Linked DNA regions of Schizosaccharomyces pombe. The protein of the gene in region 3 interacts with the protein of the main gene of each other region in a biochemical or structural test. Each region holds a gene or a part of one and is shown on either strand. Other genes may lie near its edges.

Evidence for each region.
Region 1: of the proteins of spt5 (region 3) and cdk9, one has a biochemical effect on the other in vitro, tested with the Schizosaccharomyces pombe proteins (3 studies listed by BioGRID).
Region 2: the proteins of spt5 (region 3) and prf1 form a complex in vitro, tested with the Schizosaccharomyces pombe proteins (2 studies listed by BioGRID, with this or other methods).

What each region holds. Positions count from the first base shown.
Region 1 is NC_003423.3:1,468,868-1,472,467, forward strand, and holds the start of cdk9 (P-TEFb-associated cyclin-dependent protein kinase Cdk9), read left to right. Parts: upstream 1-1,700; 5' UTR 1,701-1,812; coding exon 1,813-1,955; exon of another isoform or gene 1,956-2,006; coding exon 2,007-2,088; exon of another isoform or gene 2,089-2,208; coding exon 2,209-3,600. Other genes in the region: wdr8 (WD repeat-containing protein), read left to right, coding at 1-20, 93-168, 208-1,220. UniProt on the Schizosaccharomyces pombe protein: Component of the positive transcription elongation factor b (P-TEFb) which consists of cdk9 and pch1, and which phosphorylates the C-terminal domain (CTD) of RNA polymerase II and spt5.
Region 2 is NC_003423.3:1,255,571-1,259,404, reverse strand, and holds the start of prf1 (RNA polymerase II-associated Paf1 complex protein), read left to right. Parts: upstream 1-2,005; 5' UTR 2,006-2,018; coding exon 2,019-2,107; intron 2,108-2,157; coding exon 2,158-2,331; intron 2,332-2,378; coding exon 2,379-3,798; 3' UTR 3,799-3,834. Other genes in the region: AP-3 adaptor complex subunit Apm3, read left to right, coding at 1-134; Smc5-6 complex non-SMC subunit Nse5, read right to left, coding at 336-1,502.
Region 3 is NC_003424.3:1,061,562-1,065,395, forward strand, and holds the start of spt5 (DSIF transcription elongation factor complex subunit Spt5), read left to right. Parts: upstream 1-2,182; 5' UTR 2,183-2,305; coding exon 2,306-3,834. Other genes in the region: BRCT domain protein Rad4, read right to left, coding at 1-1,003, 1,070-1,177, 1,235-1,300. UniProt on the Schizosaccharomyces pombe protein: The spt4-spt5 complex mediates both activation and inhibition of transcription elongation, and plays a role in pre-mRNA processing.

The DNA.
Region 1 (3,600 bases), on a different chromosome or scaffold from region 3:
TTCTCTGGTCGTCCTTTGATGTACGTTGTATCTAATAAAATTTGCACAACTTTTTGCTTATATATCTGCGATGCTAATAGCAAATTTTTTAGTCGAAGATTACTGTGTGGTCTTTAAATACCCAGAAAGGTTATTTGCTTCCACATGTAAAAACCAATGTTTCGAAAGGTATTTCTTGTCTGATATATCAATTTACTGACTGTTTAGTTTACGCTTTACATCCATCCATGCAATTCTGTACTATATTATCTCGTTTTAACGGTTCGGATTGCCTTCAATTTTACCAAATCAGCAAAAAGGCATGGATACTTCTTAAAGAGTGTAAGCTTCCTACAATAGATTCGACGGGTATCCATTGGTCGCCAGATGGAAACTGGTTAGCTGTTTTGGAAAACGTATTAGATGCAGTTGTTTATATTTATCATCGCACCGGTCTTCTTTTTCACGAATATCGACCAAATAGGTTAATTGAAGTCGGCTTTTCCGATTTTGAGTGGAGTCCCTTTGGCAAATATCTAACTTTGTGCAGTTACCATGATTCAACCTTACATCTACTTGAAACAAAAACTTTTAGTATAGTTTTTCGACTTCACCATTGTTTGCAATATACCAATACTGACTTGGAAATGCATATATGGGAAGAGAAGGAAACAATCTATGAGCAACAAATGACTTATCAAAAAGTACATAAACTCAGAACCGATTTCCCAGAACCCTCCTTTTGTTCAGCATCAAAAATACGTTTCAACTGTGATGAGACGTATGCTGCTACAATTACTTCTAAATATCCTAATGTTCTTTGGCTATGGAATTTACAGAATAAAAAACTGCACACTGTTCTTATTCAAAAACATCATATAGTGTATTTTGAATGGCATCCAGGTCGTCCCGATTTGGTGGTCATTCAAACAAAAATTAGGAAAGAATCCAAAATTCCGTCTAATGCTACATTCCTATACTTCTGGGCTTTAAGTTGGAATACACCCAGGGTCGTTGGAGTTCCAAAAAAAGGTTTTAATATTCAGAAGGTTCAATGGCTTCAACCATCAGAATTCAGTTCTCGTCCAGTTATAGTAATTTGTGGTGAAGATGCATATACCGTTGCTTACATTGTGGAAGATGAAGATGAATCATTTACCGAAGTTACTCAAACTATAATTTCTCAAGAAGTTTTAGATAATGAGTTAGAAACAACGCAAACGATTTCCATACCATCTTAAGGGATTTACTTTCTATCTTAAAAGTCTTAATTATTGTAACCATTTTTAAATATTCTTTTTATTTTACTAACGACCTAATTAATTCGCTTAATGTCTATAATATTTTAATGCACGTTCATTGTTCCCGCATGTAAAACATGAGCACCCTGAGCACCCCGTCAGCTTAAGGCCTTTGCATACCTCTTATAGTTTGAATGTCTTTTTCAGTCTATTCAACTATCTTTTTCTAAATTTAGTACGTACTATTCCTGAGTTTTAATAACTACTCTTTCCTGATTCATAAATTGTAAACTTTGCGCATTTATTTGAGATTAGGGAGTCCTTTGAAAGATATTTAAAACTAATGCAACTTTTTCCCTTTATAAAAAGCATTGTTTATTCTCTATACTTACAGTATTGTTTTCTCATTTTGAAACATAGCGCATTTTACTTCGCCTCCGTATTTAATGCATATAGTTGATAGTTGGGTCCACTTCCACTATATCCTCATCAGATGCAACATTTCGCGCATCGATCGGGTTTATACTACAATTTGTATAATTAACTTTATTCACTAATCGTTGGGATCTTTTGTATAATATAAGTTAAAAAAATGAAACGCTCAAGCAGCGTTTCTGTCGAAGATGAGAAATCAGCAAGGAGAAAATTAGATGTCGTACCCAAACTTCATTTTGTAGGGTGCAGCCATTTAACGGATTATCATTTAATGGAAAAATTAGGAGAAGGAACATTTGGGTATGTGTCAAATATCTGATTTTGAATTTTATCACTAACTTGGTTCACCAGCGAAGTTTACAAATCGCAGCGGCGTAAGGACGGGAAGGTATATGCGCTGAAAAGAATACTCATGCATACTGAAAAGGAAGGTGTAAGTAGATGTTTGTTTAGATTCTTGTTCATTTTGACAGAATGACTTGGGACGCATCGACTTGATTGCGTTAATTGTTTTAATTAATTCATGAATAAATACTAAAGCATTACATTTTAGTTTCCCATTACAGCCATTCGCGAAATAAAAATTTTAAAATCGATTAAACACGAGAATATTATTCCATTATCTGATATGACTGTTGTTCGTGCAGACAAGAAGCATCGACGTCGTGGTTCTATATATATGGTGACTCCTTATATGGATCATGACCTTTCAGGTTTATTAGAAAATCCAAGTGTAAAATTCACGGAGCCGCAAATTAAATGCTATATGAAGCAATTGTTTGCTGGAACCAAATACTTACATGATCAGCTTATCCTTCATAGAGATCTTAAAGCTGCTAATTTATTGATTGATAATCACGGGATTTTAAAAATTGCCGATTTTGGTCTCGCACGTGTGATAACGGAGGAGTCATATGCAAACAAAAATCCTGGCTTGCCTCCACCTAATCGTAGAGAATACACTGGATGTGTGGTTACACGCTGGTATAGATCACCAGAACTTTTGCTTGGCGAGCGTCGTTACACTACCGCTATTGATATGTGGAGCGTGGGATGCATCATGGCCGAAATGTATAAAGGAAGGCCAATCCTTCAAGGAAGTAGTGATTTGGACCAATTGGATAAAATCTTTCGCCTTTGTGGATCACCAACTCAAGCTACTATGCCAAATTGGGAAAAGCTTCCTGGGTGCGAAGGCGTTCGCTCTTTTCCTTCACACCCTAGAACACTTGAAACTGCATTTTTTACTTTCGGAAAGGAAATGACTTCTCTTTGCGGTGCTATTTTGACCCTTAATCCGGATGAACGTTTATCTGCTTCAATGGCTTTAGAGCATGAATATTTTACAACACCACCATATCCAGCAAACCCTTCTGAACTACAGAGCTACAGTGCTTCTCATGAGTACGACAAAAGAAGGAAAAGAGAACAGAGAGATGCTAATTCACATGCGTTTGAACAAACCGCTAATGGTAAGAGACAGTTCCGGTTCATGACTCGTGGACCTAGCGATCCGTGGTATGGAATTCGTCGGCCAAATTATAACTCACAACCGCAATACCAACGTGGTTCGTACAATCGTGAAGGCGGTAACATGGATAGAAGTCGTAATGTTAATTATCAGCCTAAGCGTCAGCAAAATTTTAAACCTTTAACGTCTGATTTGCCACAGAAAAATTCCGAATTTTCTGAAACTAACGCTATGAATCAAACTTCTAATCATTCTCATGCAGACGGTCAACGCTACTACCGGCCTGAACAAGACCGATCTCAACGATTAAGAAACCCCTCGGATTACGGCCGTCAAGGAAGACAATCTTCCCAGTCTCAACAACCAGCATGGAATGTGTCCTCCAGATACCAGAATAATAGCAAAGTACAAACGACATCTCGAGCAAGCGAAAATGCGGATACCAACAAAACACAACACAATATTAAGTACATT
Region 2 (3,834 bases), on a different chromosome or scaffold from region 3:
ATAAACTTCAAGGATCAACCCTTCATAATTTTAAAGTAGAGTCATTGAAGATGCTTAATCATCCAGATAAAAAATCTTATAAAGGGGTCAAGCATACAATTATTGCACAAAATGTTTCATTTCGTTTTCGGTAATAATTAATTTACTTTCTATCTACCCGTTTGTTTATTATATATTATTCATATAAATTTCATTTTCTTAGTTATCACTAATGATTATAATAATTATTTTCCACACAAAGCCTCATTCATTGAAACGATACATATAGTCTATATATATTAGGATACACAATTAATGCCAAATGACTTCTGTTAATTTGTAGTTAAATTATTAAGTTAAACGATTTTATCCAAGGACAATTTTTTTGAAATATCTAATAATACAAGCATGTCTTTGAGTATTGCCATTGGTCTATCAATACCAACTAATTCTGTTTGTTGATACATTGTGTATAACTGCTTCAACGTTGTGTAAAATAGCTCTTTATCAAAGTTGCGATCACTTTCACGAAGGGCCGAACCCAAAAATGAGACCCATGCTCGTAGATGTAGCTTCTGTCTGATTTTGTTTTTCGGAAGGGAAGTGGGTAAAAGTTGAGTTAGCTGTTTAGTAAACTCACAACGTGTATGGCGTATGTTAATTCCAATACCTATTCCTTTCATAAGTATATATTGGCTCAGGCAATACCGGAGATTGGAGGCGCCTAAGTTTCCAAAGAAAAGATCTTGTTGTTTCGCATTCAGTTTTGAAAAACGTTCGTCGAGTTTGCTAAGAAAATGAAAAGCGTCTGTCAGATGTACAACAAAAAATCTTCCCTTCGGAAGCATAGCCCATATAAGGCATAAGAGTTTGGCACCTAGGTTTGCTAGTCTTGATGTTCCTTCAAAACTATTTGAACCTCGACTTTCTGTTTTAGCAGGTGCTTTGGACATACTTGTTGCAAAAGGTGATTCCATTGTTTGCTGGGGAAGAGTGAAACAGGAGAAGCAAATTCTGATGGCATCTTGAAGTTCACACAAATCTTCTCCCATGTATTTTTTCATCAACGCAGATCCGTTTTCCTCAGCATCGATCTCTAATATCCTTAACCATATGTCCATCAAGGACATCCAACGTTCAAGGTCAGGAGGACGAGAAGACATGTATGCAATTAGATCCCAATAATCAACATCTTGGGTAAATAAGCATTGGTTGGAGAAAATCTTCAGATAATTTTCTTTAGGCATATCGTTGTCCGATAGATCATTTTCAAATGACCATGCGTCAAAGTTGATTTTGCTTCTGTTCTCAACCACCTGCTGTAATATCCAATTACAGCTTTCTTGAATATTAGAAGAGGTAGGATATTCTGGGTGGACTAGAAGAGTTATGCACATTCGTATATAACAAGCTGGAATTGGTATAGAGGTCGTCGATAGAAGATATTCTAAAACATCTAATGATTTTGGCAACAAGTCTTCTTCAATACAAAGCTCTATTATTGCCTTTAGAGCCGAGTTCATTTTGAAATGGCGTAAGCAATCTTTGCTACTTTATATGTAAAAGAAGCCAGATATGGAAGAGATATCTTATTTCTTAAAACGATTTTCTTTGTAAAAGAGCATTTAACATGTGCCCTATTTACAGTCTTGTGATTATTATTGAATGGTTTGATTCACGAATTTTATATTGTAACAAAATGCAGAATTCTCAGTTTGAAGTTTTTACGCGACAGAAGAAATATATTCAAAAAGAGGGAAAGAGGAGGACCCCAAATGAGCAGTATTTTAAAAGGAAGCTTTCAACGATAAGGTTTGTAACCAAGGAAGACAACATCTGCAAAAATTATTTCGTAAAAAAAAAATTAAAAAAAAAATCACTTTTCAAATTATAAAAACATTATTCTTTTAATGTACTAGCAGATAGTACCTTTGAAAGCTAGTAGATAAAAGTTTCGCTGCTGTTATGAAATTGGTGGAGAGTCCTTGGAACCGTTATTAGTCAGGTATCTAGCTAATCTGATCCTGTCCTCCACCAAGATGGCCGACTTTCAGGATGAATTGTTGGCATTAGCTGGTATTGATGACTCAGATGTTGCTTCAAACCGTAAAAGGGCTCATGATGATTTGTAAGAAAGCAAATTTATCGGATTGACCTTGCTAACAAAACATATTTTAGAGATGATGTGTTGAGCAGCAGTTCAGACGAAGACAATAATGAAAATGTTGGACAGGATTATGCGGAAGAGTCTGGAGGAGAAGGAAATGAGAAGTCGGAAGACGAATTTGAAGAAAAATTCAAAAACCCGTATCGTCTAGAGGGCAAGTTTAAAGATGAAGCAGACAGAGCAAAGTACGTTGATTTTTACATTTTTCATAAAGTTGTCTAACCAAATAAAGGATAATGGCAATGACGGAAATTGAGAGAGAGAGTATTCTCTTCGAACGTGAAGAAGAAATTTCAAAGTTGATGGAAAGGCGTGAATTGGCAATTCGCCTCCATCAGCAAAATGCTCAGTATATGGCGCAATCTACTAGAAGGTCTACTCGTGACAAGCCTTTAACTTCAGCAGCCGCTGGCAAACGTGATAAGCTTACTGAGCTGAAAAAGCGCCGCCAGGAACGTTCAGCTAGAAGCGTCTCTGAAAGAACTAGAAAAAGGAGCCCTGTTTCCGATTATGAAGAACAGAATGAGTCGGAGAAGAGCGAAGAAGAGGAAGGTTACTCTCCCAGCTATGCTGAGGAAAAAGTTGAACAAGTTTCAAAAGATAATGCATCCGCCAATTTGTACGATTTAAATGCAATTCGTCTTGGGCGTAAACATGTCGCGGAGTACATGTATCATCCTATCTTTGAGTCCACCGTCACTGGATGCTTTGTTCGGGTTAAAATTGGTGAGCGTGATGGACAAGGTGTATATCGCTTATGTCAAGTCAAGGGTATTTTAGAAAGCAGAAAGCCGTATCGTGTTGATGGTGTTTTAACTAAAGTTTCACTGGAATGTTTTCATGGTCGCTCGAAAAGAGTGTTCGATGTCAACGTCTTATCAAATGAGCCTTTTTCCGACCATGATTTCCAACGATGGCATCACCAAATGATGGAAGATAAGCTTTCCATGCCCTCTAAAAATTTTGTACAACGAAAGCTGAATGACCTCAGGGATATGAGTAAATACGTTTTAAGCGAAAAGGAGGTTTCTGATATTATTAACAGGAAGAAAGAGTTATCGCGTGTTCCTTCGAACATCGCTGCTGAAAAGACCCGTCTTCGTCAAAGGAGACAAGCTGCTTATGTTGCTGGTAATGCAGAATTGGTCAAGGAGATTGACGATCAATTAAACACTTTGGAAGAACTTTCCATGGGATCTAACCAAAATAGTAATTCTGCCATGGATCAACTTGCCAAAGTGAATGAACGTAATCGACGCCGCAACCATACCGAAATTCGCCTGGCAGAGCAGCGTATGAATGAAGAACGAAGACGCCTCTCAGCAGCGGCTACTGCCACACCAATGTCTGCACCTACTTCCGTACTGACGGGAACAAGTCCTCAACCTTCACCTTCCCTTTCTACCTCCATTATGTCTACCCCAAAGCTGAACCCCAGTGAATCAGTCGTCGTTGCCTCTGAAAAGGCATCATCTCCTGACCTGAGTCCTAAGCTATTACCTTCTGAATCCCAAATTTTTGACGAAGGCATTGCAGTGACTCAAACCCCGAACACGTTGGAGGACAAAGATTTCAAACTTCACGAAAAAGCTGTTCACGGAATTGATGATATTATTGCTACTGTGGATTTTGGCATTGATATCAACATTTAATTCTCAGTATTCTCGCGTTTTATTTATTATTATCCT
Region 3 (3,834 bases):
GAGATGGACGAAAAAAAGGTTTTGCTAAGGCATGTTCATCGATTCCAAAGATTTTTTTGTAATAAAGACACCTTTCTATCCACCACTCATTAACTGTAGGAAATGAGAAGATGGGCAATTCATCGACAGGGAAATAATGAGGTATAACGACAAAATCAATGGTAGAAGACAAAAATTCAGAAATCTGGCCTCCATTATCGCTCAAACATTTATGAAGCCTGGAGACCTTAGTGTTTGGAAACTCGTAAAGATAAAAAGTCAAATTTTTAAAAAGTTTAGCTTCGTTTTCGATGTTGAGTTCCGTATCTAATTCGTTTTCTTCTAAGGGTTGAACAGTTTCGGGAGTGAAATCATCCAGTAGTACTGAATTTTCTTCAGAACGGCTGGAAAATTCAAATTTTCCATTATTAAGTTCTTCCCATAAAATACTTCTATCTCTCTTCTTTCCCCGTTTCATAATCACGGGTTCTAAATCCGCTTCCTCCGCCAATGCAGCCAAGGATTGACCAGACTTTTCTTTATTCTTGCTTATTTTTTGGTTTTCAGAATAAGACTTTGCCTCCGTAGTATTGGGATCTAGACGAACATACGCGCCAAGTCCAATTTTTTCGGCTGGCATATCCAATTGGAAATACTGCGGCTCAAGGACAGCATTCCTTTGTATACTTTGCCATAACCATTCAACGCAAACTACGTTGATTTTCCACTTTAATGCATATTCATATTTGCGACCCGATGAGGTGCCAGCTATTAAATGAGTTACGTCTCTAGTTAAGTCAGGGCAAAATGTACCACCATGCTTAAGCACATAATTTTCAATACGAGATCTCTCTGGTTGGCCAATGTTGGTAAGACAAACCCGGCATTTAAATAGAGTTGGTAGAAAGTGTTTATCGACGAGCAGGCCATCATCCAGATCTTCTCCCTGTACCCAGCTTTCATAAAGAACAGGTATCCATTCACTAGACATAATCTTTATGTCTGGTCTGGATTTTGCGGCAAACTATTGAAAAGAATGTCAGCATTTACTCTTGAAGGATAGTGTAATTTGTAAGATTTTACGACATACCTTGTATTTTGGAGTATCAAAATCGCCGGCTATAAGATGCGTGACATCCTTAGTAAAGTCTGATCTATAGGCAGCACCAAGTTTAGTTGCTTTTGTAGATATCTCGGTCTGTCAAGTTAGTAACACAAATAACAAAAAATGCGATTCGTCGTGCAAAAATCTTACCCTTTGCTTTAAATCGATACTGGTACAACATATCACGAAGCCTTTGAGTGGTTTAGAAGAACCCATTCTTTCACTACCGACATTTATGAGTTCTAGGTGAGTAGGTATAGGTAATTTACGAGTACAAACGCGTCCATCACCACTACATATTATTGTGAGGAAATGCAAAAATTGGTAATGTTTAAAAGGGAAAATAAAGAATGTTTAGAGAAAATCGACTTTCGAAGGTTAAGAGTAGATTGAAGCTAAAACCAAGTTGTTATATGCTACCGTGGTGGGTGCGAAGATTGACAAATGGAGAGTCATAAAAGGCCAAAATTAAATTTTAAGCATTTATTCGAAAAACTCGACTGTATTGGCAATGTACACGATGCTGTATAGCTGAGTAGCATCATTGGTTTGGGGGAAATTATGAACAAGCACCAAGAGCTGGCTATTATATTATTCCTCATTTAACCTGTATCATAATTATAAGATTTATTGAGTAAGAAGATAGTATATGGACACCACCTTTGTCCTATATTCTCTCGGTAAAAAATATCCTCTTATCCAGTTTAATATTTATATTGGATTTTAGTAACGCAAAGGGATATTGCCCTAAAGGGTTCATAGTTATATGGAATATAACATAATATTACAATTTAAATGTAAGATGAATTTATTGATAATCTGAGCATCCCATTATCTTTAATTTCAATTAAACCAAGTCTAACTTTAAGATTGTGTATGGCATTTCGTGTATACAAGTTTGTTTACCAGCAGTGGCAATTGCTCAAGCTTACCATTAAAGCAAATACTTTTAAAGCAAAAGTTTGATTTTACAAAAAAACCGTAAGTATTCCATTCTAAATTGCTTCTTTCGTATATCTATACTCTTGTCGCTGCAAGCCATACAAGACCTACTTGCTTGGTAAAATAGGGCAGCAGTACGTACTGTAAGTCACCTTTAACAAAACACCACTTGTTGAATAAAAAGTTCATTAATCGGCGAACCTATCGCCTATATTAGATTAAAGGTCTAAAAACAAAGCATTGAGGGAATAGGTACTATTTCCTCTTTTTTAAGTCACAATGGATACGAATTCTCCGAAATCTATTGATAAAGATGCAAATTCGACTGAGGTAGATGCAGCTGAGCAAGATGCTGCTTCAGTTAAAATCAATTCTACCCGTGCATCCCCCAATGGAAGTGACTTGCTGAATGATGATTCTGAAGCTGCTAAAATTACTACAAATGAAAAACAGAGTTCTCCCGTGGATTCCCATAACGAAAGTCCAAATGATACCACAATTAATAAAGGCGAAGATGGGAATGAAAACGAAGTCGATAATGTAAATAACAATGACAAAAAAGAAGATGAGGATAATGTTGAAGAAAACGAGGAAGAAGCTGATGCAAACGAAGAGGAAGAAGAGGATGAAGAAGATGATGAGGAAGACGAGGAAGATGAAGATGAATCAGGTGGCGGTAGAAGAAAAAGGGCTCGCCATGACCGCCGCAACCAATTCCTTGATATTGAAGCAGAAGTAGATGAGGACGAGGAAGAGCTTGAAGATGAGGAAGATGAAATTGGTCGTGAAGATGGTTTCATTGAAGAAGAAGTTGGAGCGGATTACGTCGGTGATGATCGTCGCCATCGTGAACTTGACCGTCAAAGACAGGAACTACAATCTGTTGATGCTGAACGCCTTGCTGAGGAGTATCGTGAAAAGTATGGTCGTAGCCAAACTGTTGTTGGAGATACAAGCAATGTTCCCCAACGTCTTCTACTTCCTTCAGTGAATGATCCCAATATTTGGGCTGTTCGCTGTAAAATTGGCAAAGAAAAGGATATTGTTTTTACCATAATGCGGAAAGCTATGGATTTGCAATATACTAGCTCTCCATTAGAAATCATTTCAGCATTTCAACGTGACTCGCTGGTCGGTTATATATACGTTGAAGCTCGAAAGCAATCACATGTTCTAGATGCACTTAATGGGGTTTTAAATGTTTATACAAATAACATGATTTTAGTTCCAATTAAGGAAATGCCGGATTTACTCAAAGTTCAAAAACAGGTTGTTGAACTGTTGCCTGGTGCATATGTGCGTATACGCCGTGGAAAGTACGCCGGTGATCTCGCTCAGGTTGACAACCTTTCAGAAAATGGTTTAACCGCACGTGTACGTATAGTTCCTCGTATTGATTATTCCGATGGGTTGAAACGAAAGAATTCTGCCACTCGTCCTCAAGCAAGACTCTTTAATGAAAGCGAAGCATTTAAAAGCAATCCTTCTAAGTTTTCTAAACGTGGTCCTAGACTTTTCCTCTTCAACAATGAAGAGTTCGAAGATGGATTTTTGGTAAAGGACATTCGTATTTCCTCACTGATAACTGAAGGAGTTAATCCTACACTTGACGAGGTATCCAAATTCAATCCTAATAATGAGGATTTGGATCTCAGCTCTTTGGCTCTCAGCGTCAAAGGGGGCCATGCTGAATTTCAGCCTGGAGATCATGTCGAGGTATATGTTGGTGAGCAGACTGGAGTAAGTGGTGTTGTTGAAAATGTTCGAGGTAGCGTTATTACCATGGTATCCTCTGATGGTTTACGGTT